Mytilus edulis: one gene and its partner. The protein of the gene in region 2 binds, or shares a complex with, the protein of the main gene of each other region. Links are inferred from orthologs where the notes say so. Each region holds a gene or a part of one and is shown on either strand. Other genes may lie near its edges. The genes, in order: rab3 GTPase-activating protein catalytic subunit-like and rab3 GTPase-activating protein non-catalytic subunit-like.

Region 1 (16,906 bases), on a different chromosome or scaffold from region 2:
CCAGATAATACCATGACAATAGACAATGCCTAAAGAAAAACAGACAATACCATGACAATAGACAATGCCTAAAGAAAAACAGACAATACCATGACCAAGCCGTAAGAAAAACAGACAAAACCATAACCAAGCCAAAATAAAAACGGACAATACCATTACCAAGGCGAATTAAAAACAGAAAAATACCATGACCTACCCAAAAGAAATGAGACAATATAATGAGCCAGCCAAAAGAAAAACATACAATATCATAACCGAACCATCTGAAAGTTCTAAGTTCAGTATTTTTGTGATTTTACTTTTTAGTTTTTACATACAATACAAAGACAAAGCGAAAGAAAAACAGACTTCACCATGACAAAGCCAAATGAAAAGACATACAATACCATGACAAATGAAAGAAAAAATACAGAATATACCATGACAAATTCAAATTCTAAAGAAAAAGAGACATTACCATGACCAAGTCGAAAGAAAAACAGACACAGCCATGACCATGCCAAAAAGATAAACAGCATTAACATGACCAAGCCAAAGGAAAACAGACAATATCATGATAAAGTCAAAAGAAAAATAGACTATACCATGACAAATTAAAAAGAAAAAAGAAAAACAGACATTGACATTACAAAGCCAAAAGAAATCGAACAATAACATGACCATGCGAAAAGAAAAACAGATATACCATTACCAAGCCAAAAGAAGAAACAGACAATGCCATGACCAAATCCAAAAGATAAACAACAAAAAGGCAAAAAAAAAACTACACAGGAAACGAAAGATTGGGCAACAGATACCCCACCAGGGGGATAAATGTTGCAGAATGTTGGGGATTTTTCACATCAATATTTTTGAAATCTCAAAACAGTGTGTAAAGTATCGTGGTTCTGGAAAATAATAAATTATCTTATCATTGCATATCTATATTTGTGTACTCACCTCACTTTAAGACTTTTGGCTGTGTCATCTTCAAATGTGAGGGTATTTTGACTCTGTGGTACATACTCGTAACGATCACTTGTCTCTATCTCAGCCGATGAAGTAACGGATAGTGTCTTATCGTCTATAGTTGTTTCTTGCACTGTATGTAATAAACTCCTCTTCTCTCCCGAATCTCCCATATCACAAGATGCTAGATTGCAGTCTAATTATTACAATAATATTTTAGTTTGTGTTGTGTAGTATCATACATATGATTTTTGAAAAAAATACATTACCTGAAATACATTTCATATGTATAGTATGTACATTTAAGACCTTGCCTGGCTATTGAAAATTTCTCAAGATAGTTTCCGTCCATAAACTAGAGGCTCTCAAGAGCCTGTATCGCTCACCTGATTCTACTTGGGTTTTTGAAATCATATAAAAAAATATAAAATTTGGCTAAAAGTGACAACACAACCTCATTTAAATAAGGAAAGGAACATGTTTAATTTCATTCAAAAGTCCCCCACTGGTGGCCATCTTGGATGACGGATCGGCTACAAAGTAACAACACTTGGTCAGCACCTCATAAGGAACATTCATGCCATGTTTGGTTTTATTCCATTCAGTGGTTCTCTAAAAGAAGTCATTTGTATGCATTTCCCATAGGGTCCTATGTTAAACTAAGTCCCCTGCTGGCGGCCATCTTGGATGATGGATCGGCTACAAAGTAACAACACTTAGTCAGCACCTCATAAGGAACATTCATGCAATGTTTGGTTTTATTCCATTCAGTGGTTCTCTAAAAGAAGTCATTTGTATGCATTTCCCATAGGGTCCTATGTTAAACTAAGTCCCCCGCTGGCGGCAATCTTGGATAATGGATCGGCTACAAAGTAACAACACTTGGTCAGCACCACATTAGGAACATTCATGCCATGTTCGATTTCATTCCATTCAGTGGTTCTCTAAAAGAAGTCATGTGTATGCATTTCCCATAGGGTCCTATGTTAAACTAAGTCCCACGCTGGCGGCCATCTTGGATGATGGATCAGCTACAAAGTAACAACACTTGGTCAGCACCACATAAGGAACATTCATGCCATGTTTGGTTTCATTCCATTCAGTGGTTCACTAGAAGAAGTCATTTGTATGCATTTCCCATAGGGTCCTATGTTAAACTAAGTCCCCCGCTGGCGGCCGTCTTGGATGATGGATCAGCTATAAAGTAACAACACTTGGTCAGCATCCCATAAGGAACATTCATGCTATGTTTGGTTTTATTCCATTCAGTGGTTCTCTAAAAGAAGTCATTTGTATGCATTTTCCATAGGGTCCTATGTTAAACTAAGTCCCCGGCTGGCATCCATCTTGGATGATGGATCAGCAATAAAGTAACAACACTTGGTCAGCACCTCATAAGGAACATTCATGCCATGTTTGGTTTCATTCCATTCAGTTGTTCTCTAAAAGAAGTCATTTGTATGCATTTCCCATAGGGTCCTATGTTAAACTAAGTCCCCCGCTGGCGGCAATCTTGGATGATGGATCGGCTACAAAGTAACAACACTTGGTCAACACCCCATAAGGAACATTCATGCTATGTTTGGTTTTATTCCATTCAGTGGTTCTCTAAAAGAAGTCATTTGTATGCATTTCCCATAGGGTCCTATGTTAAACTAAGTCCCCTGCTGGCGGCCATCTTTGATAATGGATCGGCTACAAAGTAACAACACTTGGTCAGCACCACATAAGGAACATTCATGCCATGTTTGGTTTCATTCCATTCAGTGGTTCACTAGAAGAAGTCATTTGTATGCATTTCCAATAGGGTCCTATGTTAAACTAAGTCCCCGCTGGTGGCCATCTTGGATAATGGATCGGCTACAAAGTAACAACACTTGGTCAGCACTCCATAAGGAACATTCATGCTATGTTTGGTTTCATTCCATTTAGTGGTTCTCTAGAAGAAGTCATTTGTATGCATTTCCCATAGGGTCCTATGTTAAACTAAGTCCCCCGCTGGCGGCCATCTTGGATGATGGATCGGCTACAAAGTAACAACACTTGGTCAGCACCCCATAAGGATAATTCATGCTATGTTTGGTTTTATTCCATTCAGTGGTTCTCTAAAAGAAGTCATTTGTATGCATTTCCCATAGGGTCCTATGTTAAACTAAGTCCCCGGCTGGCGGCCATCTTGAATGATGGATCGGCAACAAAGTAACAACACTTGGTCAGCACCTCATAAGGAACATTCATGCCATGTTTGGTTTCATTCCATTCAATGGTTCTCTAAAAGAAGTCATTTGTATGCATTTCCCATAGCGTCCTATGTTAAACTAAGTTCCCCGCTGGCGGCTATCTTGGATGATGGATCGGTTACAAAGTAACAACACTTGGTCAGCACCTCATAAGGAACATTCATGCTATGTTTGGTTCCATTCCATTCAGTGGTTCTCTAGAAGAAGTTCAAAATATAAATTGTTAACGACGACGACGACGACGGACGACGGACGACGGACGCCAAGTGGTGAGAAAAGCTCACTTGGCCCTTCGGGCCAGGTGAGCTAAAAAAGACTTCGATTCTGAGTATATTCCCTTGATGGGAACGTATGATCTTTCTGTTATGTCTTGATTTCTAAGATTTATCTCTTTAAAGTAGCGGTTTTGGTTTGATTTAATTGCAATCGAAGGATTGAGTATTTGGTTAAGAAAATCTTCTAACACAAAGATTTTGTAAAAGTAATTTGTTCTTTTATTAATCAGCTTAACCATAGATAACTAAGCATCTCCTGCTATGCATGCATCGACCATCATTTGATTCCAAAAAGTCATTCAAACCTGCTGAGGTGTTTTACGTTATCCTTTGAACCAATAATCTTATATTTATTGACTAATTTACTAGTGTTCACATTGTTTGTTTTATCATTACATCCTATATTTTTATTTATATACTTTTTGCACTAATATATCATGTGTATGTTTCTTTGAATGCTTATATATGACGTTTTTAGAGGAAATATTTTCACATGTACAGAAATCGGAATCAAAATTTAAGAAGACATGGTTTCATTGATAACAAATGAAATAAGCTTGCTTTCAGTATTTAGTAAACATTCGTTATTATTATACTTTCTGTTAAAATTCCATATTTTCATTGTCAACCTTGGCTTCGCTTTTGACAATGTTTTTTCGGGGTACCAATTTGCTCTATCACTCTCTCAGTACATACCTCTCAGCTATGTGTTATTTATATAATATGACATGTGTAATTTACATTTCAGTCGTGGGGGTTTTTTTTGTTTTTTTTTATTGTTTAAATATGTACAACTCGTCTAAACATCAACCCAACAATGTTAGATCTGTACGAAAGCAAATGTTTGATTCTTCCCTCGCCGGGATTCGAACCCATGCTACTGTTATATCGTGACACCAAATCGCCTGCACTGCAGCCGTCCCGGTAGACCACACGACCACCTGGGCTCTCAAAAAAAGAGCTTTCGCTGGCCGTGTGTTACCTTTCCTCGTCAATTTTAATCTAGCGGCGTACTACAGTACATGATATATAAGGCATGAAGATGTTATTGTTACAGATCAGCTAAATTATCTATAGTAAATGATCCTACAAATTAATGTAATATACAGTCACAGAAAATAATTATATTTATAAGTACGTCTGAGTCAGTGACAACTCTACAACAGATGTATCCATCGGATCGCCATCAATGATGGCGATACATGGCTGTGTACATAATGTATATACAACTCGTCTAAACATCATATTTTTTTGGCAATACCAATTAACTGGTTTCACGGTCAAGTATATAAAATTGACACGGTCTATTTTTGTTAACTTTTATCATTCGGTCATTTTATCCCGTATTTCTATATTTAAACAGAAACGGGGACACAGACATGACAGAATAAGAATATGACTCTGCTGAATTCAAAATAGAACAATGTGTATGATGGAATTCAGAGTGTTTGATATGAGTTGCGTCTGATAGAAATCGACATTAAGCTAATGCAAATGTTTTTGTTTGTGATCTAGCTGAAGCCCAAATCCGGATGCGAGATTTTCTCGCTGTGTTGCAGAGCTGCTGTTGACGACCTTTTGGTGGCCTTGTGCAGTTTTCTGCTCTGTGGTCGGTTTGTTGTCTCTTAGACATTCAAATACGAATTAAATGATCAATGATGGTCTGTTTCGTAGGGTTCTTATAACAACTGAATTTTCAAATAGTTACAAACTTTAATTCCAAATAGATTTTTTAATAACCCGAAATAGGCATTCATAACAATTATAATTTCATTTGCCTATGATCGATTTATGTCCGACGCAGCTCACATTTTAAAAGAGGTTATGAATAACCAAACAGATAGGGAAATGAAAATAAACGTCAATAGCTGTGTCCAATTAAAATGTACTTCTGGTTCGTTCATTCGCCCTATTTTATGAAATATCGTTTATTTGCCTTACTTTCTGAAATAGCATACTTACAAAGTTTAGTAAACTATCCTATATATATATATGTCCACATGACTGTTACGTCAGTCATAACGGATAATGACTGATAATGAGATTTGATATCTATCAGCGTATTATACATTTTGTATCACTACCAATATAAGGTTGATAACACCTGAAATCTTTTCCTTAAGTATTGGAATTTACAAACAACACATTTAATTGTTTAAGAAAGATGACCACTTTCCCGATAAGCAATGGTTATACTTTGTTAACTACGTATCATGTTTTTAATAATAAAAAAACAAGGATTTTGTTGTATCTTGAGTATTTGGTAAGGTTTCACTATCAAACTGTTGGGGACAATGAACTATGTAAACATTAAAGTACATGTGCACTAGAGAGCAGACAAAGCAGGCATAGCATTAAACCGGCCTATTTAAGTTAAAATTAACACAGTTGCACCTCGGACGTGCGCATAGTGATAAATATAAAATAATCCCTATATCAAATGTAGTGCATGCCTTTTTTTTTTATAGTACTGTTCTATAAATCCGAGAAAGCTTAACCTTGACCACTATAAGTCTGTGACAACTAAGGGTAGGTGTTTTGGACACTTTCTAACCATATATGCGTGTATGCAATACCTTTTTCACTTTTGCAGTTCGCTCACATCGAATTATTTCTTGGCAAAAACATATTAAGATTATTTTTTTTTCCAGCAACATCTACTTTTTTGTTGTTGTAGCATTATTTTTTATTCCTAACCAAAGGCCGTAGTTTTGAATTTAAAAATGTGAGGCGAAATTATGTTATATCACTGGACCTGAATGAATAAACGTGATGAAAAAGGATGAACATATTTGAAAGGAGGGAAATATTTCAATTTTTATAGAATTTGCTAATTTCCATATGTATTACCTCAGCTATATCTGTGTATTCCTTACCTTCGTCTTTAAATATTAATCGCGAGATTTTTTTGTTTTAGAAAATTAGAGAAATACAGTTCTCCTGAAATGCAAGCATTGTTTCATACTTGAAACTGACTTAAAATTAAGATGAGGTTGTAAACCCGTTGAATCAAACTAACTTCCTGATAGCAGAATATGATAATTCTTTATTTGCAAAACAAACAAAAAACAATTTTGGCATCACAAATACATAGACAAAAACAAACATAGAAAACTATAATGAAAACAGTAAGTGTAATTGAGGATGTGATCATTAATGAAACAAATGAATGTGAAGTAAAGTTCTGTGACTATTTTAAACGTGGACAGGAATAAATTGTATGATTAAAACCATACTCTTAACCTTAACAAATTTATTCTCAAGTATTTCTTATACATCATTAGCATTCATTTTTTAAAAATTTTTATTTCGAGCTTTATAATAAAAAAAAATACGTTAGACGCAAGATTTTTTGTAGAGATAGTTGTACACAGATCTCTGATTCCAGGGAGTTCTCCATACTGAGACTATAAAAAAAAAATCCAAATCAAATAGATATATTGTTTTAACTTAAAACATTAATCAAACAGACCTAGAAAAGTCTAATTGCACAAGGTCTTCGATCTATTTATATTTATGTTTATGTTAATATCAGGTGAAGTGAATATCGTCAGATTAAGGAGGTCATCTCGATAGTTAATTCGAATTTCCGTCAAATCGGTGATCATGATTTTGACAGCTAGTGCCCCTTTAATAGTTAAGCATAGAATACAATTGTACGGAGTTGCAACTGTTCAGTGTGACTATAGTATGACAGTGTCATACTATATTCAATCTGCCATATCGAAATAATTAAACAGTTTATATAACAAACCATTGATTAAATGAATAGGCTTGAAAAATACAAAATAATATTCCAAATAAGTGACAAATACAATTAACGGATTACAGAATAATTAACACTTGTAACACACATTTTCTGTCAGATAATAAAGTAAGATCATAAAAAAAAGTTTGGTGGTGCTAGATTTCGGTTAAAAGAAGGATAATAATTATAACACAGCAAATGACTCAGATGATTAAAACTAAAAAATTATAATTAAATTACTAAAAATATTGTGTATCTTGAGACGGTCCCGATTGCAAGAAGACCGGAAATTTACCTACAGTTATTTCCCTTTGATAAAGAAACGTCAACAAGAAGAAAGAATGGCATCAGATGAAGTTTGTATTGTTTTCTTTTAGTTGTGTTTATGGTTCAAATATGCATTATTTAAACGAAGTTGCTTTGCAATGATATTAAAGGAGTTGTTTTAATCGCTGATTTTTAAAGACATCTGTTTATGCCACGATCTCAGTTATGATCTGTCAATTTTCATCAGTCCATTAAAATTCTTATTTCACTTTAGATGTAATTCAAACTGAAAAAGATTTCCCATATTTCAAGTGTATTTACTTTCAGTATTTTGATTTAATTTAGAAATAATTTTATTCTGCTAGGCATTGTATAATTTCTATAGGCTATTGGTTGCAGACACTTCATCTGTTCATTTTTTGGCATCAAATGTTTTTTAATTGTTTAGCTTTGATCTAGTCCAAATAATTATGACGTCTTGAAAGGCTATTATAATTTTTTTCTTTGACGCCTTACTTCGCAAAATATGCTCTCGAAGTCCAACCGAAAATGGCGGCTTCAGCATTATGACGTCGAAGTAAGGCGTCAAAGAAAAAAATTATAATAGCCTTTCAAGACGTCATAATTATTTGGACTAGCTTTGATCATGACATAAGCCACTCATGTACAGCATGTACATAGTAACAAAATTATGTTAGAGCCAGTTAGCAAAAAGTTAACCTCTATACATCATTGTTCATGTCTTAGTCAGTTGTTTTAATATGCATAAGTTTACAGGGTTATCTTGTAATGAGATTTCGAAACACCAATACATGTTTTTTTTATTATTAATTAGTTACACCCGTTGACATAGGCGGATCCATGGGGGGCCCCCCTTTCGTGGGAAAAATTTGGTTGATTATATAGGAAATCACTGAAGCATGACTGGAGTGGCCCCCCCTTACATTGTAGGTCAGTCAGCGGGCCCCCCCTTATGAAAAGTTCTGGATCCGCCACTGGTTGACCTGGTGTGAATCAGCTTAAACAGGGTCATTGAATAATTGGTTCTAACTTCTAACCTAATACCATAATCAATTATGACATGTCCTGATTGCTTCAAAGGCAAATTGTAATTGTTTATTTGTTTTGTTATAAAATCATTCCATCTGGAGGCCTTATTTGACTTCTGGTGCTGGGAGGTTAAGGAATGATCTGAATCATAAAATATGATGATTAAAAATATTCAACCATTTCCAACAACCGGATTAAAGGGCTTATCACAAATGTATGTATGCACCTTATTAATCCCTTTTGTTACCCTATAATAATTAAAGTTGATTGCATGTGATCAAGTCTAGGTTTGATGAACAACATTAGGACCTAAGTTTTCTCGTTTGAATTGTTTAACATTTTTCAGTTTGTGACCTGTTATAGCTGACTATTGAAACCAGTATTGAGAACTATAGTTCCTAATTTCTATGCCAATTGGTCTCTTGTCTTGTCATGCTTGTCTTGGAACTCTTGGCAATCATACCACATCTTTTTATTTTCATAATGACATAGATTTTAGCAACTATAGGTCACTATAAGGCAAGTTTAAATGTTGCAATGAGCAGAAGCCTAACTGCTTATATATTTCTATCAAGCTACATGTAAAAAAATCTGACATGATTAAATGTAAAACAAGTCAAACACGAAAACAATTGTTACATAAGGTAAATAATCCAATAATTTCATAATGTATCGTCACTATAAACATGTAAATAGCCTTGTCAACCTTGACAAGACAAGAACCAATATTTGTAAGACAGTTTCCATACATTTTAAGTCAAAGTGTTGACTTCTAAAGATAAATCATTGGATCTACATTTTGTATATTCTATAAGATGAAATGGGTTTGTTCAAGATATAATTAATTTTTAAATGATTTTCTCCAAATGTCTCTTTAGCATATGTTGTTATACATCTCCAGTGAGTTGTCACTACTTTTATATTTCTCTGGATAAATACTAAATAGATAGGTTGATATATTTATTAAATTATATTTAAGGTGGTACCTAACTTAAATTTATTTGACTCGTTTAATTTTCATAAAATTTTGACAAAGTATTTACTTTGACCCTTTGACAAAAGTATAAAAAAAAATCAAAAAATTTGAACCAACCATTTTATCAGAAAAATTACACTGGTTATATAGCAGTTTGACAAACACTTTTTTTAATCATTGAGATGCTTAATATTCCCTTAACAACACAACGTAATTAAAACGTTTAACTGATTTTATAGAGTTATCTCCCTGTAGTGTTAGGTACCACCTTAAACTTAATTTTTGTCTAATTTCATATAAATTTTGTCAGTAATCTCTGAAATGTTTAAAATCTATTATACTACCGGTACATGTACATGTACATGAATACATACATTTGTACTTATTATACCTTACGTATATTTCAAACAATTCTATTGGGTGAAACGTAATCACGTGACATGGAATAATTCAGTTAATTTTCATTCAATTGAAGGAAGGACGAATAACCCTAAAGAATTTACACCAGCGGTGAATAACCCTATTATTCACCGGTGAATAACCTTTTGAGTTTGTTTATTTGTACTTGAGTTACCTCCCATAAAAATGACGTCACAAACGTAAATAAACAAAATGGCAGCGTTCACGTTACACTGGAAGCCCATCGAGAGACGAGGAAATACGGCATTGGACATAGAGCTGAGAGTGGCAGCAGCCGATGATGTCTCTTATAAACGGTCCTTTTCAGGGCCATCAATATTTTACAAAAAAATTCTACTTTTGTTGTATATATTCGAGAAAATCAAACACAAATGTATTTTCAAACGTCAGTCTGTGTTCGAAATGCACTTCCACTGTTAGTTCGGCTGCGCCCTCAATGAAATAACCTTCTCGTGTTGACAATTTTGGATATTCACCTCTTCAACGGGCCATAATTGTATAATGTACTAGAACACACCCGTGATATCGCGAGTCCGTGACTGAATTAAAGTATATAACTTTGCGCAAGCCTTATTTTAGTATTAGTATTGTCATCTGATAAAGTCACGCCGATTATAAGATGCACAGTTTTCTCTGTTTTCAAATCTTTCTGTTTGAACCCGTCGAACTGGAACTTATCAATTATTGGTAATACGTCATGCCCGCTAACAAATTGAAAACTATACGCCTTATTTTTAGTCCAGATGTTTAGTATTCGTATTGTTATCTTAGAAAGTCTTACTGATTAAAATACTACAATTTAGTAGTGTCAATCCTGTGATTATGACCCGTGTATATAGCATATTAATCCTGAATACACCGTTTGGTGGTGCGCCTGTCAGATGCGGAACGTACAGATAAGGTAATAGGTAACAGGTGAATATACTATTGGTATCGGTATTGGACTCGATCCGGAACTTCTTAATTATTGGCAATATTAATTACGTGGAAAACAAAAGGGCTTGGAGTGGTGTAATTTTTAATCTACACCTTTGTACTATATTAGTTATATATAAAGTTGAATTCTTTGATTCGTCGTTTTTACGTGATGACGGCTGACAAATTGGACCTCGTAATTTTAGTATTATAGATATATCACAGTTTTTGAATTTTTATATTGAGAATAGATGATTTAAAAATAAAGTTACCAACTTAAATATTGACTTCACAACTTTACTCTATACAAAAAAAAAAAAATTTAAATTATTTTGACCTGTGCCCAAAACAGGGAAGCAGATGTAGTAATTCAACCTTTTGAAATAATTCAAAGGACCTAATTTGGTAGAAATTTTTCTTCAAAATTTTTTAACATCTGGTTCTTTTTAAGGAAATGTTGTCCATTTCAATATATATAGCAAAAATTGGTAATATTGAAAACAAAATACTGTATCAGCAGGATCAGAAATAATTTTATCAAGATATTTTTTATTTTTTTTATCATTCCTGAGTTTCCTTGTACCAAGGATTTTTTATGACCTCCTTTTTTGTACTATTATAAATGCATGATGTTTAACTATGATGATCATATAACACAATTTGATTGGTACTAAGATTAACAGCTTTGTGGAACTTTAGACTGAAGAGGATTTATACAGTTAGTTTAGTGTCTAGTATTGAGTTTCATCTGTCTCCATTTATACCTTGCAAAATCCTTGGTATTGTCTAACATTAAACTATTTCCCTGACGTCAGTTTTATAATTTTAGCTGTAGGTTATTTTTCAAGAATCAAATCAATTCATAATGTTACACTATTGTTTCACTTGACTCCAATCTTAATTGACTAGTATTGTCAGTTTTTCAATCTAAGGTCTCTGGGGTTTTTTTTCAGCCACTCCGGCTTCCTCCACCAATTATAACTGGCCGCTTCATAATAGCCTTAAAGGGGTGCTTATAAGTGGCGTTAAGACACAGAAAATCATATCAAATCTTATATTTATATAATACCACTTGACTTGATAACAACTGTTGACAGGCCTTGAAAGTGTTTCTGGTGGCTGCAAAGTCTGTGTTGTCTTCATTCAAGTCATATTTTACATTATGACATACAGTATTAGTCTGAAGTTTTTCTTTTGGGAGATATGGGTGTAAATTGGAGGTCCATTTTTTTCCTGATAAATTTATTCACAACTTGTATACTCTTTTGTTAAAAGACAGTTTACAGCTTCACATAGTGTATAGGCACCTCTTTATTGTTGAATAGTGAATGTTGTCCTGTAGATATCTAATGATCATTTTGTTGTTGTTGGGTTGCTGTCTCATTGATTTATACTCCTCATCGCCTTTTATTCCTGTCTATGTTTTCAATACATATGATTTGTATTTTTGATGATCAATTGTTGTAGAACCTTCACCGTATAATCAGATAACTCATTGTTTTGTTTTTCACAGTCAGAACAAAATATAATGACATGATAATACGTTTTGATGTCAGTGCCATGTCATATGTTTATAGAAGTCCTATTTTCCTGTGGAGGATCTTAGGTTTAATGGATGATATCCTGGTTAACACCTTCAATCAATAATTCTCTTGTTAATTTGTCTATCACAATCACTGACAGTGTATTGATTAGTTCAGGTCTGTATGCTAGTGTTACAGTTACACTATTCCCGACAGATGGCTTTTAATAACGTTCTCATATTTGTTATTGTCCTCTTGTTCCTACTGTTCTCTGCAATGTTTACACATTTATTAGAGTGTTGGAATGGGGTTTTGATATCCAGCAAAATCATATTGCTTTTTTGACAGATTCTATATTGTTTACATTGATATACAAAATGTAGTTTTATTGAAGTTATCATAGAAATAATTTTTAATTAGAAATTACCAACAATTATATGGAATAAAACTAAACATAAGTTTGAAATAAATACCTTTATATACAAGTTTATTCAAAAGAACAATAAGTGTCAATTTACAGTTTTCAAATGTACACTGTGACATTCATGTTTTTTTTGTAAAACAGAAAATATTTGAAAAAAATCATAAATCTAAATTTTTTAATGTTCCTCATTGTCAAGACATAAAAATAATGCCTGGAGATTATGTCAACGTTTCTGTGGTCACTGATCTTTGCTTTTTATCTGTAGGCAATAAGTCAACAACATTATAAAATTTAACACATCATAAAGAAATAAATTGACAGCCTTTTAAACTTTTAAAATAATTGTATTCCCTGGTCCAATCATTTAAAAACATTCAATACCTTATAAGACTTCTCAATGATGGTAAATTCATCAAAGAATTTTCTTTTTTAATCATATCTAATTGCTGCAATAAGCTGGTAGGGACACCAAATTTAGTTTCACTTTGTATTTTCATTTTCAAAATTTTTGTCATGTTTGTATACCTGATAAAAAAATTATGACAGCTTAAATATTTTTTTAAAACTTTGTTTTATACATGTTTCAGTAAATACATGCCAGTGTTATTTATATTTCACTTCAAAACTCAAAAGAAATTTTGAATTACAAAAAAATTACGTCAAGAATTTCCCAAATTTATTAGTTTTACAAGGTTCTTATAATTAAATTATCACTTTTCTAATAGTTTTATATGACTTTGCTTTCAATGTGGGCAGTTTTAAAATTTATTGTCTTCTGCAGCCTCCAACAGTGAGCAAACCCAGACTACTATTTAACTTAGCAAGCTATAAAATGCCCTGAAATGACATATGTAAAACAAATGAAACAAATAACTAACAGCTTTATTATGTACATGTAAGTCAAGTTTTTAAAAGTTGCTTTCCAATACATTGTAGTTGTAATTTTGTCTTTGTAATTTAAGTTGCACAGTCATAGTGTCCGCGTTAATGATGTTTGGACCCAGTAGTGGATCGAGAGGGGGGTTCCGGGGGTTGGAACCCCCCTTTTTTTGGACGATCAATGCATTTGAATGGGGACATAAAGTTGGAACCCCCCCCTTTTATCCTGGTTTGGGAACCCCCTCTTTTTAAAATGGCTGGATCCGCCCCTGGGACCAATCAGAATGTCCAATCTAGCAATGTTCCCATGAAGCAACACAATTTCTGATGGGTTCAATTCACAGTTTTGATTGATTGTTGGTTGCTTTGAACATCCAGTGACACAGTTTTGATTGATTGATGGTGGCTTAACATCCAGTGACACAGTTTGGAAAAGCCTTTTGTAAAATATCAGCCAGCCATTTTGATAGGTTGAGTAAAAGCAGTTGAAATAAAGTTTTGTCATTAATAAATAATAATGTGATCACCCATCCAATCCAATGTTTAACATTTCTAAATTGTGGAGGTCTATTAAAGATTTAGCATTGTTCAGATTTCTTTTATGTAATATTAAATGAGTATATATTTTCAATAAATGAATAACCAATAGAATAATAGCACATCAATATTTTAACCCGTCAGCATCCCCAAAGCCTAATTTCCCCAAAAGTACTAAAACTTCTTTTAGTAAGTTATTCTGAATGAATTATTTATTGGTATCCCTTCAGGACCATCTGTTACATAACTAAGTATTTCAGGTTTGAGGGTCTGTATACATGTATAACAGTAATATTCTGATCAGCTGGTGGGATATGTTAAAGACTATGGAAAATACGATACATGTAAATTTAATACCAAAGCTGTAAGTCATCATAAAAAAAATATAGTTGTAATATTGATTGATTGTTGTTTGCTTTACGCTGCATAAGCACAAAAAGGCTATATTGCGGCGAAAAATAGTTGTTATAACATACCTCCTCCACATCAGATATCATTATTTCAAACCCAGGTTTAGAAATACTTGTAGTAAGTTTGGGTACTGACTGTATCGTTCCATTGATGTTTTTTTGAGGCTGTACAAATCATAGGCAAATTTAGGGGAAGGGGTGCAAGTGGTCAGTGCCAGGGCTCTTCTTATTGTGCTACATACATTGTTAATGCTTAAATGCATAGGCTTTTTACATCTTTCCAACATCTAACATTGTCTATCACGGGCTCCCAATTTTTTGGAAATCCTGGATCTGCAAATGCATTTCATCTGAATACATGTCTATTTAAAAAAAAAACTGAAATTATACATTCTGGATGCAGATTATTTGAAAACACATTTTTATTTTGCCTTCTGTGCTTTAGCTCCTTGAACAGGTGGTTCATTTTTTTTTTGACATTCCAGTTTTATTTGGCTATGTATACCTTTAATAAAAGGAAATATACAAAAATATGGATTCATAATCCTGAGTATCATGAAAAACCTCACCCTTTTATCATAGATCCTTATGCCAGTGCCTTAGACATAGAAGACTAAGTGCAACATCTAATATATGTGTGTATTTGAATAATTCAATAACTTATAAAGTACAATCTTCCTTTCATTTATTATTTATTATCAGAAACAATTGATCATGAAATTGGCTTGTCATTTATCATGTTTATGGTGTCAAAAAACTAAAGGTGAAAAAATGAAATTATATATAATTTGTCTTCCAGCTGTATGTACCCTCATTATTGGTTCAATAGCTAACAACCACATGTATCATATTTATTGTTATCTCCTACAATGATGACAGGTGAAGAATGTAGAAGGTAAAATATTTCAAATATTCTTTATTTGTAGGATGCAGATGTTTTTGAAATAACAGATTTTACAACAGCTTCAGATTGGGAAAGGTAAAATATGGATTTTTAATGTTATAGTCTATAAAAGTAGTGAATAAAATAAGATCTGTATTTAAAAGTATTTCAGTTATGTTGATAGAATGTGATAGGAAATATTGGATTGGGAAAAGAGTGTTATTCTAATACCTTTGGAGTTTAGAGTTATATTTGGTTGATTTACTTACAATATTAACTGATTGAGAATTAATGTTTTATAATTCTCAAACCATTGAATATCCTATTACAAATAGCTGCATTATCAAGGTACCACAAGAGTCACCTTTTTTTCAGTTAGGGTTTATTTGTAGTCCATATACACTAGAATTACCAATTTGTCATCATAAAAATTGTATTATAAGTTATTAGTTTACAACACTTCATAAAATGTGTTTGGTTATTCTGAAAATTAAAGAATTATGGGATGCAGGAAAACAATAAAAAAAAAAATTTGGGGGATGGATGGGGGGGAGGGGCTGATTTCATGTAAAAATACATTTTTTTATTGTACATGCATTGTTTTCAGAATGAAGAATATACAGCAAATCTGAAAACCAATCCACTAATTTAACACAAATGTTTGTCTTTATGAGCAATAGCTATCATATTCATATTCTAAATTACAAGATTCAATTTCTTGAATGTGATTTTTATTCTAAATTTGTAAATATTTAGATTCTAGTTTTCATAAAAATGAATCCTTAAATCTTGGGGAATTTACATAAAAGTGGAAAATATTAAGATTTTAAACAGTTACCATATATCATGATATACAAAGCGATGATATTTGCTGCAATATTCATTCCATTCTGTAATAGGTAATTTGTAGACCAAGTAAGGCTTTAACCCATTTATTGTTTCAGTAAGATTCTAGTGATATGCAAAACATAGATCTTATACATAGATGTGGGGAATATAATTTATATACATACTTCAATTTGATAAATCAATATTTTTTGTAATAATGTTGTCACTAAGTAAAAGAACATTTACTTAACCTATATGCTTAAAAATTCATGATATGTTTAAAAGTATTTTTTTTAAATTTATTTTTCATATTTTTATTTGAGTGACATTGTCAACCATTGTATATAATTAAATTAAAGCATTTGGCGAATTGTTTCATGGTTACATTCATGGTGAACTGTCTGTAAATACTGAATGTTTTTTGCCTTTGTCAGATTTATAGCCAGACTTGAAGAAGTTTTACATGAATGGAAACTAGTGAATAATAAACCTAAGCCACCTGCTGCAAAGGTAAGTTCTTTGTTTATGTTTTATAGATCCATATTACAATATTTATAATGATCTATAATTATCAGAGATTGTT
Region 2 (17,350 bases):
TTGAGGGTTTTCAAGTTCTCAAACAGGAAGGAGTAGGTTGACCCCAGGGACTTCCCCTATATTTCATTTGATTTGTTATATTGTCCCATACATGAATATATATGGTTTAGGGGTGGGGATCTCATCGGTTTCCAAGTTCTCAAACAGGAGGGGGTAGGGGGACTCCCCCTATATTTCATTTAATTAGTTATATTGACCCATACATGAATATATATTGTTTAGGGGTGGGGATCTCAGGCGACCGTTTCGTAAGTTCCCAAACAGGAGGTGGTGGTCACCCCATGGACTCCCCTTATATTTCATTTGATTAGTTATATATATAGTCCCATACATGAATGTATATGGTTGAGAGGTGGGGATCTCATCCGTTTCAAAGTTATCAAACAGGAGGGGGTAGAGTGGCCCAAAGTACGCCACCTATATATCATATGATTTGCCTACACTCAGGACTCAGGTAGTTATTTGTGAAAATAAGGTAAGAATCTTCCAGCTACTTTAACTGACCCTTCAAAATTGAGAAAAAAAAATACCCCTTCAAAATTGCAGTAATATGTTTACACTTTAAAAGCATCTTACATGCATTATCAACATTTATCACTGATAAAGAAAATTTATACTGTGACCAGGAACATATATATTGTTAGATATACTGTTCCCAGCTGTCACATTGTATTGGATTTTGACATTAAAATTTGTCAAAAGTAATTTTGAGTTTCTGTTTAAAATATTTTCTGCTTTTTCTTTCTTTTACATATATCAATTTCTTTGAGCTAAAAATAAGTTAACATATTAGTTGCTTAGTACTAATAATATTTCTTTTCTATTTTACTCTCTCATGTTTGTCAGATTTGTAATATTTCGGTGATTCTGAGAACAATAAATAGTCTGTTTGGTTTTCAATTCTAGTGTTTATATTCATTTACCATGCATAGATGTATTTTGTCAACTGTCTGGATTCGCTAAAAACCCGGAATTACCCTTATCCGCTTCCGGAATCGGATCCGAAATTGTAATTGTCTTTTTCACGGCAGCCATTGTCATATTGTGTTCAATGTTGTTTTTGTCAGTCAGATACGATTTTACTCGTATTAACACATTTTTTGTCGGTGATTTTCTGTATATAGCTAGCGATTGAACAAAATTGACATCGCTGTCATGAATAATAATGATTAAAATAAGTTTTGAGATCGTTTATTTGGAGACTTTGGCGAAAAGGTTTGCAAAGCTATTTTTTATTTTCTTTCAAGTCGAACTGAGAGTACTATAACTGTGATATAGTTGTCTCAGAGTGGAAGACTCGTCAGGCGTGGCTAGTAACCAAGTCGAAAGTGGAAGGTCGCGGACCTCGGACCACCGCTAATTTGAACCCCTGCGGCTCCAAATTGAAAAGATACGAATTTCGTCTTCTAATTTGAAATTGCCGCCAACAGCATGAACAGTTTTTTTGACATCTTAGCCAAAAGCACAGGCGATAATAAATTACATAAGAATTCCTAATGAGCACTACTTCCTATGTGCAACTTCAAAAGTTTTGGGTGATTCGACGATCATTTAAGGTTTTTCTAGTCATATTTTTTGTAATCCAGAATTAAAAGTATTAAAAAAGTGTTCAATTAGTTATATATAACATAGTAGCCAGCTAGATAATAACAATGGCAAGTATTTCAGCATTTATTGGGTAGACCACAAATCTAGGGTGCTCGCATAATGCAGATTAACTGCATAAAAATAATTATATAAATGTAATTTATTTGAGAACTAGAAGAAAACCTATGATTAGAAAGCCCAGTCAAATAAACTCATTGGAGAGCTTATTTCTTTTAAATCCTTGTTTTACATTGTTTATATATGCAAGAAAAATTGTAGCATACCCTATTTTCGGCGATTAAATATTTCGTACAATTGTTTTTTGACATCTTAGCCAAAAGCACAGGCGATAACAAATTACATAAGAATTCCTAATGAGCACTACTTCCTATGTGCAACTTCAAAAGTTTTGGGTGATTCGACGATCATACCCTATTGTTTATCTAAAATGCTTTTAGTCAAGTTTTTCAGTTGGCAGGCATTGCTATAATTTGTTTTAGATACAAGTACCAAAAAGATCCAACAACACAGAAATCAATACCCCAATTTTACCTCAGTATAAATCCTGATGTACCCAGTGGAAAATCCTACAATAATACATGTCCAGTCTGGAGCACCCTGTGTACTTCTACAAATAATAAAGAAATTAGAAATTACCCATGTTTATAAATGTAACTAACAAAAAAAATAATTAAGTCTATTTTTATGTGGTGTGTAAACTAAAAGCAGATTAACATGTTGAAGAATCTACATTTTTTTAATACATTGTACTAAATACTTTAATTCAGATCTCATCCAGTAATTATATCTATATAATCATAAAATGTATTATAATATTCTAACTAAGGCAAAGACAGTTTTCATTACCTTTTCTGAGAGGCTAATGGCAGACACAAAACAGCTGTTATGGTTTCCCTATAATAAAAATATAAAACAAAATAGTCCTACTGCATGACAAAATCAAGTCATTAAACCATTTTATCATATGTTTAGTAGTAAATACAGTAGTTTTGCATATGTGATGAATAGCCTGCTGTTTAATCCATATCGCGCAACTTTGATGCGCACCCTTTATCGCATACCCTTTATCACACCCCTACCCTTTATCACACCCCTAATTTTTTTTTTTTTTTTTTTTTTTTTTTTACATAAAGTCAGTTTGGTTTTTTTTTTGGCTTAAGAAAAATTTTCCTCAAAATAGATAAATTTTTTGAATGACGTCATTGTTTGGTATGTGACGTCACGAACATCGAGTTTTCATATTGTATGTGACGTCACGAAAATGCAACTATGAAAAATACAAAGCACACAAATTAATACAATAATAAACAAAATATTTTAAAAACAACAGCACGCAAATTGTAAGGTAACCCAAGTGCTTCGGATAAGTAATTGAGCAGTTCTTTTAAGGCCTTCGAAACAAGACAAAAGTAGAACTGAAGGTAACCCAGTGCTATGGATCAGAAAACAGTTCATATAATATAATACTCTTCTGTTGAAATATATGATAAAGTGTATAATACATGGCAAAATCCGTATCACATGCCGTATCACCCTCGACCAATATCATCCCTCGGGCCTAAAGGCCCTTGGGCTGATATTGATGTCTCGGGATGATACGACATATGATACGGATTTTGCCATGTATTATTCTCTATGTAAACATATGAATAATAAACATAACCCAAACTAAAAAGTATTTTACACACATAATCACTTAGTCTTAACCAATATAATATATACAGTAACTATTTCCACCTCTATGCCTTACTATTAACAACCATAATTAAGCTTTTTCTACGGCCTTCGATTCTTTTTAACCTCTTTGATAACATGATGAAGGGCAAAATCACATGATCTATTCTAATAAAATTGAGAATGGAAATGGGAAATGTGTCAAAGAGACAACAACCCGACCATAGAAAAAACAGCAGCAAAAGGTGACCAACAGGTCTTCAATGTAGCAAGAAATTCCTGCACCCGGAAGGCGTCCTTCATCTGGCCCCTAAACAAATACATGTATATACTAGTTCAGTGATAATGAACAATTAATACATACCCTTCATCTTGTTTCAAACTTTCTTTATACTTCATAGAAAACTTGGTCTCTGATTCTGTGTCACCAGGATCCCATTTTTCTGTTAAATATATTAAAGTCATGAAGAAAAAGTTACTACAAAAGTAAATGAAAACAGGAAGGGTTTTAGCAAACTATAAAGTCACTGATGATGTATACATGTACATGTAAATTGAATTGTAGCTTAGTTTATCAAAAGCTGTGCAAAAATAAATTAAGTAGTGCAACTTTGAATTTCAAATTACTTTACAAATACTTTGTAATGCGATAAATTGTATGTAACACTTTTTTATGGCTCATATTCACTTTAAAAAAAATCTATTTTCTAAGCATATAGTTTATGGTTCAAAATTTTATTTTAAGTAAAGCCTACATACGTGAGAGCAGGACAAGTTTGTCACCATATGCCACAGCCATGAGATCATTAGCAGGTGAGATGGATATGAGACAATCCTGTAGCCAGTTGTGTTTATTCTCCTCGGTTGACTGAGATGAGTCTGAGTCATCTTGTTCCATCGGTTCATCTTCATTCCAACTCCAATCCTCAGTCCAGGCATCATTTCCTACAAACATATAACATTATGGTTTCAATACTTTCTTAACATAAATTTGTAAATGACTAGAGAACAATGTAAAGGTAAAACCGTTGACACAAAGATAGCAAATTAATGTATTTATATTATAGGGGCCTTTCCTAAAACCTTTCTTATCAACAACTTTGACATTTTACTCCAATAAGAAAACATAATCTATATATGTTTCTGTGAAATGTAAAACATATCATTTTCCTAAGTTTTATCAATTCTATGACAAGTAGGAATGAGATTTTACTTGTTCGTCTTGGGAACTGTGGTCAGTTTGCCCATTTACTGTATCTTTTACGCCCACATCCATTTACCCATAAATAATATTCTTCTTTGTTTTATTTGTTTGTTGTGTTGTATAATCATGATATCGATGCTACAATATATTATAAATAATAAATATTGTAATTAAAAATTATTGAAAGGGACCTTGAAGGTTTGCAGCCAGGAAAAATATTTCAAAAGTATTAATATCCTTGGTTATGCTAAACACGTAATCATGTTCAGGAACCTCATTCATTGTCCTTTGGGCTTTTGGATAGTTGTCATCTGACCATCATACCATATCCCCATTAGTTTTGGTTAGAAATTATATATAATTAGATCAATGGAATCAAGATGTGAAAGTAAATTTAAGCTTTTTAGAAGATAGGAAACAAAAAGTCGTAGTGAATGGTGAAGAGTCAGACTGGGCTAACGTTACATCTGGGATACCCCAAGGATCAGTATTAGGACCACTACTATTTGTTTTATATATAAATGATCTCCCAGACCAAGTAGATTCTGATGCATACCTATTTGCAGATGACACTAAGGCCACGGTTTTTTAATTTGATGGTTTACGGATTTTCCCAATGAAAAAGTCGGGTCGGTCGGTCGGGAAAAAAAAGAAGAAAAAAAATCATCTTTGAAGACAGAAAAATATGCAAAATCAATATATATTTCACCTTTCTAACAATATGTTTGTTATGCTATTTTATCATCATTTCTTAAATTTTAGTTCGATGAAATATTATTGCTCAAATGTTATAAACATCGCATGACATTGTCCAATAAATTACAGTAAAAAAAAGGGGGGTGCACGGACAAAGACGAAATTAAATCGTCATATCAGAAACAAGAAAAATAAATTCGCGTAGCTCTTTATCAATTCCTGAAAACTTGGTGAATAATGATCTTCAAGCACGAAAACTGATAAAGAAAAAAATGTAAAAACGTCGTACGAAAATAAGTTTCAACACACGTGTTAAAAACCTAATAGACTCGTCCACTGGAAAACGAGATTATCGGGTTAATCTGTTGTCTCGCATTCCCGTTTTTTATCCAAATGGACGATAATTTTTTCATTATCTATGAAACAAGAAAATTCCAAATGATTTGTTAATATTCAGTACTTCAACTTGATGCCTTTACCCTGTCCACATTTGGACAAGTCTATTTCTATGAGATGATGATCTTACGGACTGATGACAAATAAGGGAAACGAACTTATTGTGTAATTGGTTTTAAAAACAAGTTTCGTTCCGCAATATTATTTGCGCAAACGACATTTCAAGGTCAGTTATAATTGATTTGTCTATTTTTAGAAACGTAAACTGGAAGTTTTATTTTTTCACAACAGAAAGTGTTATCAATTTTGTTAGTGATTAATGCATTTCATTTCATAAAAAAAAATTATTTAATTATTTTTCAGGGATAATGCATTTGCTAGGGTCGGCGGGAATAAAAAAGCATGAAAAGTCAATTTTATTTTTATTCTGGAAATCGGAAAAATCGGGTCGGCGGATCCGTAAACCAACAAATTAAAAAATCCTGGCCTAAGATCTTCAGAATAATTAAAACACAAAATGACAGACAAATTTTACAAGAAGATCTTAATAAGATGGAATCCTGGAGTGACAAATGGCTACTAAAATTTCACCCAGAAAAATGTAAATATATGAAAATAAGTAAGAAATCTAATAGCACTGACCATCCACCAATCTATAACCTACTAAATCATCCTATAGCACAAGTTAAAGAGGAAAAAGATATTGGAGTCCTCATTGATGCAGAACTCACATTTGAAAACCACATTAGTGAAAAAGTGAACAAAGCAAACTCCATATTCGCAGTTCTTAGAAGAACATTTAAATACCTGGGAATAGAGACATTCATGCCACTATACAAAACCATGGTTAGAACACACCTAGACTATGCCAGCTCAGTCTGGTCCCCATACAAAAAGAAAGATATAGACAAAATAGAAGGTGTTCAAAGAAGGGTAACAAAACAACTACCAGGGCTAAAAGACATGAGCTACCCAGAGAGACTAAAAAAACTAGGCTTACCTACATTATCCTATAGGAGAATAAGAGGAGACATGATCGAAACCTTCAAAACAATGAACGGACACTACGACAAAGAAGTTAGCTCATTTTTAAGAAAGGCAGAAGATTCTCAACAAAGATGTAGTAGTAGGACCAACAGTAATAAAGTAGTTCATCAAAGATTCCAATCTAATATCCGTAAACACTCTTTCTCTGTTAGAATTGCTAAAACCTGGAACAAACTACCAGATAAAATAACAAAGTCACCATCGATAAATTCATTCAAAAATCGACTAGACAAATATTGGTTAGACGAAGAATTATACTATAATGACTATAGAGCAGAAATATCCGGAAGTCACGGTCAAAATAGTATAAGAAACACATTAAGTTACGAGTCTGGTGAAGAGGAACCTTGAGGGATCCTGTACTGGAAATCAACTATAAGTAACTATAAGTAAGTAAGTAAATTGTTTGATGTGGTTTTTTTTCTTAGTTTGAATTAAAAGATTGTTATTTTCATAATAGATAATAAGATAAAAAAAAATTATGAATTATGCATGTAGGTATGGGTAATTTTCAAGGAGAATTTCTCTGGTGAGTTTTTCCTTGAAGCACTCACTAGTTGTGTTTGCCTTGCTTTCAATTTGGACAAAATGTTGAATGTCATCCTATGGAATGGCAATTTTATTACTGGTGATTTGGAACATTTTTAGTCTGCGTTTAAGGGAGACAGCTTATTGGGATCTCTGATTGCAGGGTCAATAGCAGGAATTGGCAGACTAATGGCAAGAAATACATTGACGCCAATCAGCTCGACATGAAGAACAAATTATTATGAGAAATTATTTTTCAGAAGCCTTCCTTCAATGTTGTAGGAAGGCATACCAGCAATTAACAGAATGTTGACATTCTGTCTTATCTAAGCTTACTCAACATATATTGGCCCCGGTTACCTTACTTACAATATTTACATAGAACTGATGTAGCCAGAACGGGTTGTATGTACAAACCTACAGATTACTTCCTAAACCATAAAAATACTATACCAATCCTTGGTCAGTCAGATTACTAGACATAAATCTAAAATGATTTTTTTTTTCTTCTCTCATAAATTTTATACGATTTTAATTACACGAACGTATTTTCTTATTTAAAATGTAGTCGAACAGGACGAACCGTCTATGGGCAAATGGACCCGAGGTGACCTACGAATGTAGCCCCCCCCCCCCCCCCCCCCACACACTTTTTACAAAACAGTCTCGATTATGTACCCCACCCCCCTTTATTTTACAAAACAGTCTCACCACCACTGTTACTTTTCTGTGTCGATTCATCTTTTAAGCAGGGAAAGAGATATTCTCTTAGTGATGAGACTTCTTGGAAATGAGCAAATACAGAGAGCTGGCATGACATGGTTTGTATTTCTATCGTTTTAAAAGTCTCAAATGAAAATCAATGTTTACGTTCCGAAACGGAAACGGAAGTTAAATATGGTTTTGGCGGGAAATGTTGAGTTTGGTATTTTCTAAAATACTGTCAGTAAATGTCAGAACAACTGTCACAACTAGACATTAATCCAAGAATTACTCATGCATTGATAAAAGGTTAATATTTTTTTAAGAGATTTGATTTTAGGTCAGTTTAAAATTTCTATTGGAGGAGACACACACACAAATTTTAAACTATTCAGAAACCAAAATTTCTATCAGTATCAACATTTACTGTGACAGTTATCATAACCTTAACTCATTGACATGACAAACTTTAATATATTTATATAGACAACAGACACTATTTATTAGCACAAACACATTCACATGTATGGCAAGCCAAAGTGGACAAAAAGAGCTATTTTCTAATATTAGAAAATGATTTTTTAATATTAGAAAATGATTTTTTTATTATTAAAAAATAGCTCTTTTTGTCCACTTTGGCTTGCCACAAAGAGCTATTTTTTAATATTAGAAAATGATTTTTTCTAGCTATTTTTTTAATATTAGAAAATGATTTTTTAATATTAGAAAATCATTTTCTAATATTAAAAAATCATTTTCTAATATTAAAATGATTTTATTTTCTAATATTAAAAAATCATTTTCTAATATTAAAAAATAGCTCTTTTTGTCCACTTTGGCTTGCCATATACATGGTTATATACACTGGTAGACCTATTTGGCAAATGACCGCGATTTTTGGCAAATCTACGCGGAACGGAGAATAAATAGAGGTTCATCGTAAATTTTCTGTTTTACAGAATATTTTGCGGTTCTCCGGAGATTTTCCGTGTCTCAGGGAATTATCCGCGTGTCTCAGGGAATTATCCGTTTGTCCGATTAAACTGGTGTGTATTGAGTCAGTGATAGAACCAGTGATGCGTGAGCGATGGTTATTAATAGATCGTTGTATAATCCGTTATCTGTGAGCAACGGATATTAATAGATCGTTGTGATTATATACACTGTTTATAGTCAGATAAAAATAACCGTCTTATTACCCTTTTCAGTCGAGAAATAAAAAGCGGTGGTTTTGATATTAAAGTTACTTGCAATTTAAATATCGAATTTAGTTCAATAAAGAATAATCTATTTAAATGTGACCAATGAACAGGAAAATGCACGTGGTAACTTTGCAATACTACAAATATGTTCACCTTACAAAATTCTTCTTTATTGTCATGTTAAGATAAATCAGTTCCTGTAAAAACAGACTCTTAATTACTGCAGATGCCGTAATCCGACATTATGTCATACTGATTTGACACTTGTCTAATGTGAGCAATACCTGCAGTGCTGTGATATTTTTGCAATACAACATGGACAAGCGGAAGGTCGTAAATCAATCTGTTGATCCGAATTTAACTTTACCTGTTCAGATATTTATTTATGGAGGATATCATAGATACATTTAATAAATTGTATTGTATTCAATGGAGATAATTTAAATACACAATATAATTTATTAAGACATATTTGCAGGTATACATTGAACATGTTTTCTCCAACCAAGAAGGTTTGATATTGAATGCTTTTTTTTTTTTTTTTTTTTTTTTTTTTATCAAACTTCGATCTGATCAGTCTCGTAGATTATAAACGAGTAATTCGTTTATAGTTACACATTGTTACTCTTCTAACGTCTTTTTCTTTGTGCTATTAAAAAAAACCTCACAATTTTCCACATTAGATCGACATTTATATATATATGAATACTGGAAATCTTTTTTCCGTCCGACACCACGCTCCCCACAAGAGCCCCAAGATATAATCATACCTGTCAATCACTAGCCGCAAGTTGAACATTTTGGCCAGCCTTCCTCGTGCTTTCAATTATGACATCGTTGCGAATTTTTTTATTTAAATTGACATGTGAAAAGAATAAAGTGATGGGAAGTTTATTTTACGACCTATCAAGACTTCTTGTGATTGTAACAAGATTTTTCTTAGGCCGCATTTCTTTCTAACAAGAATTTTGTAAACGTTGTGTCGCGTGTGTTACTGTTTTCTACACGAGTAGAAACAAATACATCGTTTGATAAATCTTTAATGACCCTGTTTGAATTTTCAATAATGCATGCACATGTTGTTAGTAATCAGACTTTTTTACAAACGTAGAAACAAATACTTCGTTTAATCAGGTTGAAGTTAGAAAAAAATGCAGCGTTTGTACTAACAAACGACAAACTGCAGACGCATTTTTAGCGTTTGCATAGTTTGTCAAAGTTTATGTAAACTTTGCAAACGTATGTGTTTGAAAGAAATGATCAAAACATGTGCGAGCATAGCCGTTTGCATCGTTTGCATCTTTAATGAGTCTGAATCCGTAACCGTCAAAATAGCATGCTTTACAAAAAGATCAGCCAATTCAAACGTTTCTTTACACAAAGATGATTTTAAGTACGTCATACATTACATGTAAACATTTATTTAAGTAAATTTTTTTCGTATCTATCTTTTTCGTATCTATCAATTTGGTTACAGGGTTGATGCAAGTAAGTTGTACCGTGTGGTGCGTTTTCAGATTCATTTCTCAACAACTTCCTGTGAACTGAAATATTTCGGCGGGGGTATCAACGGCGGCAAGCTTACAGTTTAACTTGCTTAAATTTTATTTAAGTCAGTTTATTGAAATAAAATTGAAAATGGAAATGGGGAATGTGTCAAAGAGATAGCAACCCGACCATAGAAAAACAGCAGCAGAAGGTCACCAACAGGTCTTCAATGTAGCGAGAAACTCCCGCACCCGAAGGTGTCCTTCAGCTGGCCCCTAAACAAATATATACTAGTTCAGTGATAATGAACGCCATACTAATTTCCAAATTGTACACACGAGACTAAAATTAAAATAATACAAGACTAACAAAGGCCAGATGCTCCTGACTTGGGACAGGCGGGAAAATGCGGCGGGGTTAAACATGTTTATGAGATCTCAACCCTCCCCCTATACCTCTAGTAGCCAATGTAGAAAAGTAAACGCATAACAATACGCACATTTAAAGTTCAGTTCTAAAGAAGTCCGAGTCTGATGTCAGAAGATTTAACCAGATAAAATAAACAAAATGACATTGTTTTTGCAGAAGATTAATCCAGACATTAACGTACTTTGGCTTCCCATTTGTTCCACTGTGTAGGATAACTTATTTACGCATTAAATCATTAATAATTACCAATATTAAAATGCTGAAATGCTAGTTGTATACTTATTATTTTACTAATTTGCGTTTTGGTTCCGTTTAAATTTGCTGTTATAGCATGTATAGATTCCTTGATTTTCATAACTTATCTAGTTTCAGTTGTTAAATACTAGTCAGTAAAGAGCTAAATATTTTGCCTTCCAGCAGAGCCAACAACTAAGCATCAGACGTATACGTGATACATTAATCATATATATATGTAATATCAGTAATGGACTCCTAGACTTTTTCTCCTTTTATAGCCGACTATGCAGTATGGGCTGTGCTCGTTGTTGAAGGCCGTACGGTGACCTACATGTATAGTTGTTAATTTCTGTGGCATATGGTCTCTTAACGAGAGTTTTCTCATTGGCAATCACACCACATCTTTTTTTTAAACGGACTCATTTAGCATTTGTTATATTCTCAACGGTTGAGAAAAACTCCATGGATGACAAGTCAACTGGGGTTTTGAGTTGAACATTTTGATTGTGTATGTTTATAAGGGTTTGAATAGGATTTATATAGAAGAAGAGAGAATATATATGGACAAAAAGTGCACAACAAAGGGCCAAAAAAGTAAATAAAATAGACACCAAGAAAACAAAGAATATAGAATAATGGGGGAAAATATGAAGACTACAGAAAAATTACTTACAACTATAAGACAATATTCAAGACCCTCGTATGTGTTCAAATACAATCTGTATACACTATAGTATATATCTTGCTATAAAGTTCCGTTCTCAAGGTTTTTTGCTCGAGCCTGACTGTCTGATTCTATTTAATTTTTAAATTGATGTCCAGTGGCAAACATTTCTAGAGTTGTGTCATTCAGGAAGTAAATACAAGAAAAAATGAATCTGTTCATGCGCGGGTTGGTTAAAAATAGAGCTCCCTACATATATCTTGTTTAAAAAAATATTTATTTTACTCAGCTATCTTCAAGGCACTATCTTCTTCTGTTACATGAAATTGTGATACTGTAAAATTGACTGATTAGATTTTATTTTAGATTGCCAAAGTTTGAAGTAGTAGAAACCATTTCCGTGACCTGTGTTTGTTGCACTCTGTGGGTAAAATCCAGTAGTTTGTTTTAGCCTACTGAGATTTTAATAACTTATTTTCGAATGATGGAACCATATCAAAATAATAAATTGAACACGGGTTTGACAGTCAGTAAACTGTCACACAAGAAATAGATTGAATGTTGCATGTACACTAGTCCAATTTGTAATGTTGTCTTTACGTCCTTCCACATTCTTTTTTTTTTTTCAAAATCCGGAATCCGCTTTCGAATATATTATGGGAGTCTGTCAATGGAGCTAGAGATACATTTAACGACCTTGACTGGCTGCACAACCCTTGCACGGTAGATAAATACATCACACACAGATACACTGGCTGGTTAAAGGGACAATAAACCAGAAGTGTAAATTGACCCAGGTATTTTAAGTATATTGTGTGTAATGTGTCAACAGCCACGTGTTCGTGAATTCATAGTCGCTTGAATTTTAGTGATATATGTATGAAAAAAAATTAAAAAAAATACTGTTATATGTATAATATATATGAAAAAAAAATTTTAAAAATACTGTTATATGTATAATATATAATATGTATAATATATAGAGAATAATACATGGCAAAATCCGTATCATATGCCGTATCACCCTCGACCAATATCATCCCTCGGGCCTAAAGGCCCTTGGGCTGATATTGATGTCTCTGTCTACTTAACTGTTTATATGGGAATTGGTGAAAAAGTCATAGTTCAAAGTCATAAATGAGCGTAAATAAGTGTTCCGTGAAAATTGTTTTCGAAAATCTAATTTGTTCATAATTCTTTTATGTAATAAACTTATTTAAATAAATTTGTACCTTCCCTTGTCTGATCACCAGCATGGCTAAAGGTATTACTCCCAAATGTATTGTGAGGTGACACGTTCAGGTATTCAAGCGATTTCCTGTCGGACTTGCAAGTTCATGCATCGCTTCACTTCTAAGGGTATTGATCAGTGTATACGACCGATAACTTTTGAACTATCAGGTGTATAGTATAAATCTCTGTCTTGCGTGTCCGATATACTAGTCATTACTAAACGCATAAGCTTGTTTATAAATTACATTTCTGTTGTAAAGAATATTATTTATAAAAATCTAAATAATTCAAAAAAAAAAGATTTGATAAAATAAAAATCTGTTTTCACATTTTTTCCAAGGGTAAATTTGGGGAAATGTAAGTACTCGTTCTCAAAAGTGAAGGACAGTTTGAAACGTACAAGAAATATTGATTTAACAAAAATATACGCACTTTTCGACCATTCTTTAATACGCCTTGATAGAAAGTTACGGAACTATAGATAGTTGCAATTCAAAATTATATACATTTTTACATTGAACATAAGAAAGAAACATACATTTTGTTTATTTGGGTTAAAAGTTCTGTAAATAAACTAGTCCTCGTATGACAACAGACTGAGTATGTTATCATGGGATGTCGATGGACGAAGAAGAAGAAGAGAACTTATTTGAATTAAATACAGGTCGATATTTAACTTGCTTTGGGTTCATCGAAGTTATGGACATAGTAAAATCACAGATTTCTATTTCAACAAGATTGTTCTCGAACAAAGGAAGGAGTTGTCGTCTCAATTGTTGGCTATAATTTATAATGATGTGAACATGGTTCTGAAAGTACATTATGCAACATTTCCTGTTCCGACATGCATGTTATACATGCCACTGGACAATCACTAATTATCCCCAAGGGTTGTGAATATTTTGCTGGAAAACTATTGAGTATCAAAGTTTCAAATTAATTTCGGGATTTACTTTCCTTCTTGGTATTCAATATTCAATAACAGAAAAAAGAATAAACTGCTTGTCCGCTTAATAGGGGTATTCTTGTTATAGTTATATTAAAAAATAGGGATATATGACATTAAATTGGTTCTGTCTTTTTTTTTATCCTAAACATCGTTAAAAAGATGTGTGTCTAAGGTGAACGACACAAGAACCCTGTAATACTAGTACGAGAGCATGTTAACATTCCTTCTCAATAATATGTTTGTATTGGAAATCTTTTCATACAGATTGACAACTCATGGTCCGATATGCATGTAATATTTGCCACATGACGCCCATAGTTCTTTCTACCATCATCATCTTATTCTTTGATATTGCTGTAAACATCGATGGTTCACACCCAAACAAAATGGAAGTAATGTACCTTCTGATAGCTTCTCCGTGTTATACACTTGTGAAACTTAATATATAGACGAAATTTCGGTATTAAAATGAATCTACATCTCACAAACAGGATTTTTAAATCACGATTTTGAGCAATCGTTGTAGGTTCATGAATATTCATATGGTGCTTTTCTTTAGCGCCAATTGGAAAAAACGTATCTTTAAATAAAGTTTACATTATTAAACATATTCCTCAGAAATCAGTTATCATAAAACCATACGAGTTATGATAAACCTTGATAAAACAAAGTTCTGTTATCATAAAACATAAAATAATGCACTATGTAAACTGGAGTAAAATTATGAGAGTTCTAAGCACTGTACATGTACTATAGTAAAGTTGTAAGTCTGTTCTGTCACAAAACTTTTAAGCGATGGTCCATGCAGTAATATTCATGTCTGGAAATGTCCTTGGCTGTTTATCCAAAAGATATAGTCTGGTTTTTTCTGTTTCCCATCGTTTTTTGAGAAATGCATTTAAGAGTGAATCGTTAACTGGGTAAAGACCAGTGGCAAATATCTCTCTGTCGATTTGGGAAGATATTTTCTAATTCATTTGAAAATATTTATATGTGTTTGCAATGTTCAATGCTTGGACTTTGAAAAGGCGCTAATAAAGCTAACTAAATATTATTTTGATAAAAGAGGTAATACAACAAATTTGATTTTACAAACAAATAATTCTGTAAACATCGCGTGTGAGGGTTTACACGGAGTTAAAAGAAAAGACAACAGGGCAAATCTGATGAAAAAAAAATCCCGAAAATTCGTAGTAACAGGAAATTAAACAGTAATTGAAACCCCCTCCTCAAACAAATGTACCTCATGACCTGTATTATGCTGAGGTACAATTTTTTTGGTGAAAAAAAATATAGAATGCTGGAAGTGTTTCGATGTGCTATTGGAAAATCCTTTGACAAAAATGGGTAGGGTTCACCAGGCCACGGCTTAGGTAGCACTTCACAGAAAATATAGTTACAATTGAGCCACAGAATGTTGAATAACCTTCCAACACTGGCCTTCTAATACGTTAGGCCAACTGTTAGTGTCATACATGCAAAACTACAGACCTATCTACGGAGTGCTACCATACTCACATGCTCCCGATACTAGTATGTTGAAGAAGTAATGAAATTAATAGAACCAGAGCCGGATTTAGTGGGGAATGGCGTTGATGAGAGTTTTTAATAGTCTTGATTTGATTGATTGATATCATGGAGGTTTTTAACGACACTGACTCAATGACTGGCTATACAACGCATAGAAGCTTTTGACGACATAGACTGCCTAAACAGCCCTTTGAGTTTCTCAGTCGGCTATAAAGGGGGAATGACACGGTGTCCGCCCCCTTTTGTTGAAAATAAATATTGATTATATAGGGAATCACTTGAGAATGACTGGAGCTGGTCCTCTCATGACATTATCAGTTAGTCTCCCCTCTCCTTATATATAAAAAAAAATCTGGATCTGCCACTGAGAACAAGTTTAATAAATTAAAAAAAAGAATGTGTCACTAGTATACACGGATGCCCAATCCGCACTATCATTTTCTATGTTTAACAGACCAAGGACTATCTTTAATTAGTATAGAAAGTCCCTGAGTGGACTGAGGAAATGAGGTAATTCTAATTTGGCATTAAATTTAGAAAGATCATATCATTGTGAACATGTGTACTAAGTTTAAAATTGATTGGATATCAACTTCATCAAACACTACCTCGACCAAAAACTTCAACCTGAAGCGGGACAGACGGACGAACGAACAAACGAACAGACAAGACCAGAAACAATGCTGAGAATGGAACATCCAAAATATATATTTTTAATCTTTATTGCAAAATTACACCCATAAGGGTCAAGCAATATCAACAAACATTGTAATATAAGGTAATCTTATACACTCCCACTCCTGAAACACAAACAAAATTGAAAGTCATCTGATTGCAATCTTATAACTGTTAATACTGATGAAGTCGCTTTATCATTGATTTATAAGATACAAGTTGTGACCTTCGAAATTGTTTTATATTATTTTATTTGTATATTTTCCTATTGACTTTTAAGGTACCTCCGTTGTCCTTAAAAAAATCCCTTCCATAATATCCAAAACTTCATCGTTGATTTGAAAAAAAATGATTTTCGATTTTCGATTATCAATTGAAATGAACCTACTAGAGCCTCAACTTTCAAGCGCACAATAATGTCAATCATTACACATCACTTTAACCCTTTAATTGACATTCCACAATCGGTCAGTAACATCACCTGTGTTTATAGTTACAGGGTATTTCCCGCCGTTGGACAATCCCGTGCAGTCGACACGATTGATTTTTAACATTCTCTATTATGAGCGAGGTCAAGTTTTAGATCAAGTTAATTACATATATTTTTAACGTTAATTATTTAATTATTAAAAAAAAAACGTATCATCATTTCTTTTCTTTTCTTTTTTTTTTTTGCTAGTATAGTAAATAAATCTCAATCCCGGGATTTAGATACACTTAACATTAGACCTGGAAGTGCCTTCTTATAAATGGAGAAACTGTCTTTCACATTAAAATTTAAAAGAATATTATCGCTCAGGCATATTTTAAATTTTGTAATAAGATGATTGATTGTTGGTTGTTTAACTTCCAGTGGCAAATATTCCATAAATGTCAGGACGAACTTAGTTTTAAGATCGAACTCTCAAAAAATAATTGAAAAACAGTAAGTAATGATGACAGAAGAACTTTGATACGTGTGAAATAACCATCCAATCTTTTAAATATAACTTATTTATATTTCAAAAAGTAACAGATTAGTTTACAAGACGTGCATTGACGTACTTTGATATCTTTAAAATGGAACTTCTTTGTCTAAAAGACAACCA

What was found.
Region 1: the proteins of rab3 GTPase-activating protein non-catalytic subunit-like (region 2) and rab3 GTPase-activating protein catalytic subunit-like are in contact, whole or in part, in a cryo-EM structure (PDB 8VYB), measured with the Homo sapiens proteins. The link is inferred for Mytilus edulis from reciprocal best matches to the Homo sapiens genes RAB3GAP2 and RAB3GAP1. Residues at the interface, in NP_036546.2 of Homo sapiens: Arg197, His198, Pro199, Gly200, Ser276, Pro277, Phe278, Asp279, Met281, Lys282, Ser285, Asn286, Ile287, Gly289, Phe290, Asn291, Ala292, Ile294, Arg377, Phe378, Gly379, Leu380, Pro381, Asp382, Arg385, Cys395, Thr397, Leu398, Arg407, Arg415; in NP_036365.1 of Homo sapiens: Thr19, Ser21, Trp23, Glu24, Glu142, Ser143, Asn146, Leu147, Leu149, Ser150, Ser153, Ile154, Ile169, His170, Trp173, Arg174, Met176, Arg187, Asp189, Glu191, Met192, Val193, His194, Leu195, Arg196, Pro199, Tyr202, Ile211, Ser214, Lys215.

What each region holds. Positions count from the first base shown.
Region 1 is NC_092351.1:29,043,177-29,060,082, reverse strand, and holds the start of rab3 GTPase-activating protein catalytic subunit-like, read left to right. Parts: upstream 1-7,501; 5' UTR 7,502-7,552; coding exon 7,553-7,567; intron 7,568-15,538; coding exon 15,539-15,591; intron 15,592-16,757; coding exon 16,758-16,833; intron 16,834-16,906. Other genes in the region: neutral amino acid uniporter 4-like, read right to left, coding at 940-1,121. UniProt on the Homo sapiens protein: Catalytic subunit of the Rab3 GTPase-activating (Rab3GAP) complex composed of RAB3GAP1 and RAB3GAP2, which has GTPase-activating protein (GAP) activity towards various Rab3 subfamily members (RAB3A, RAB3B, RAB3C and RAB3D), RAB5A and RAB43, and guanine nucleotide exchange factor (GEF) activity towards RAB18.
Region 2 is NC_092346.1:83,355,129-83,372,478, forward strand, and holds the start of rab3 GTPase-activating protein non-catalytic subunit-like, read right to left. Parts: upstream 8,050-17,350; 5' UTR 7,974-8,049; coding exon 7,865-7,973; intron 4,228-7,864; coding exon 4,042-4,227; intron 3,726-4,041; coding exon 3,647-3,725; intron 2,503-3,646; coding exon 2,455-2,502; intron 2,216-2,454; coding exon 2,140-2,215; intron 1-2,139. Other genes in the region: DNA repair protein XRCC3-like, read left to right, coding at 8,104-8,164. UniProt on the Homo sapiens protein: Regulatory subunit of the Rab3 GTPase-activating (Rab3GAP) complex composed of RAB3GAP1 and RAB3GAP2, which has GTPase-activating protein (GAP) activity towards various Rab3 subfamily members (RAB3A, RAB3B, RAB3C and RAB3D), RAB5A and RAB43, and guanine nucleotide exchange factor (GEF) activity towards RAB18.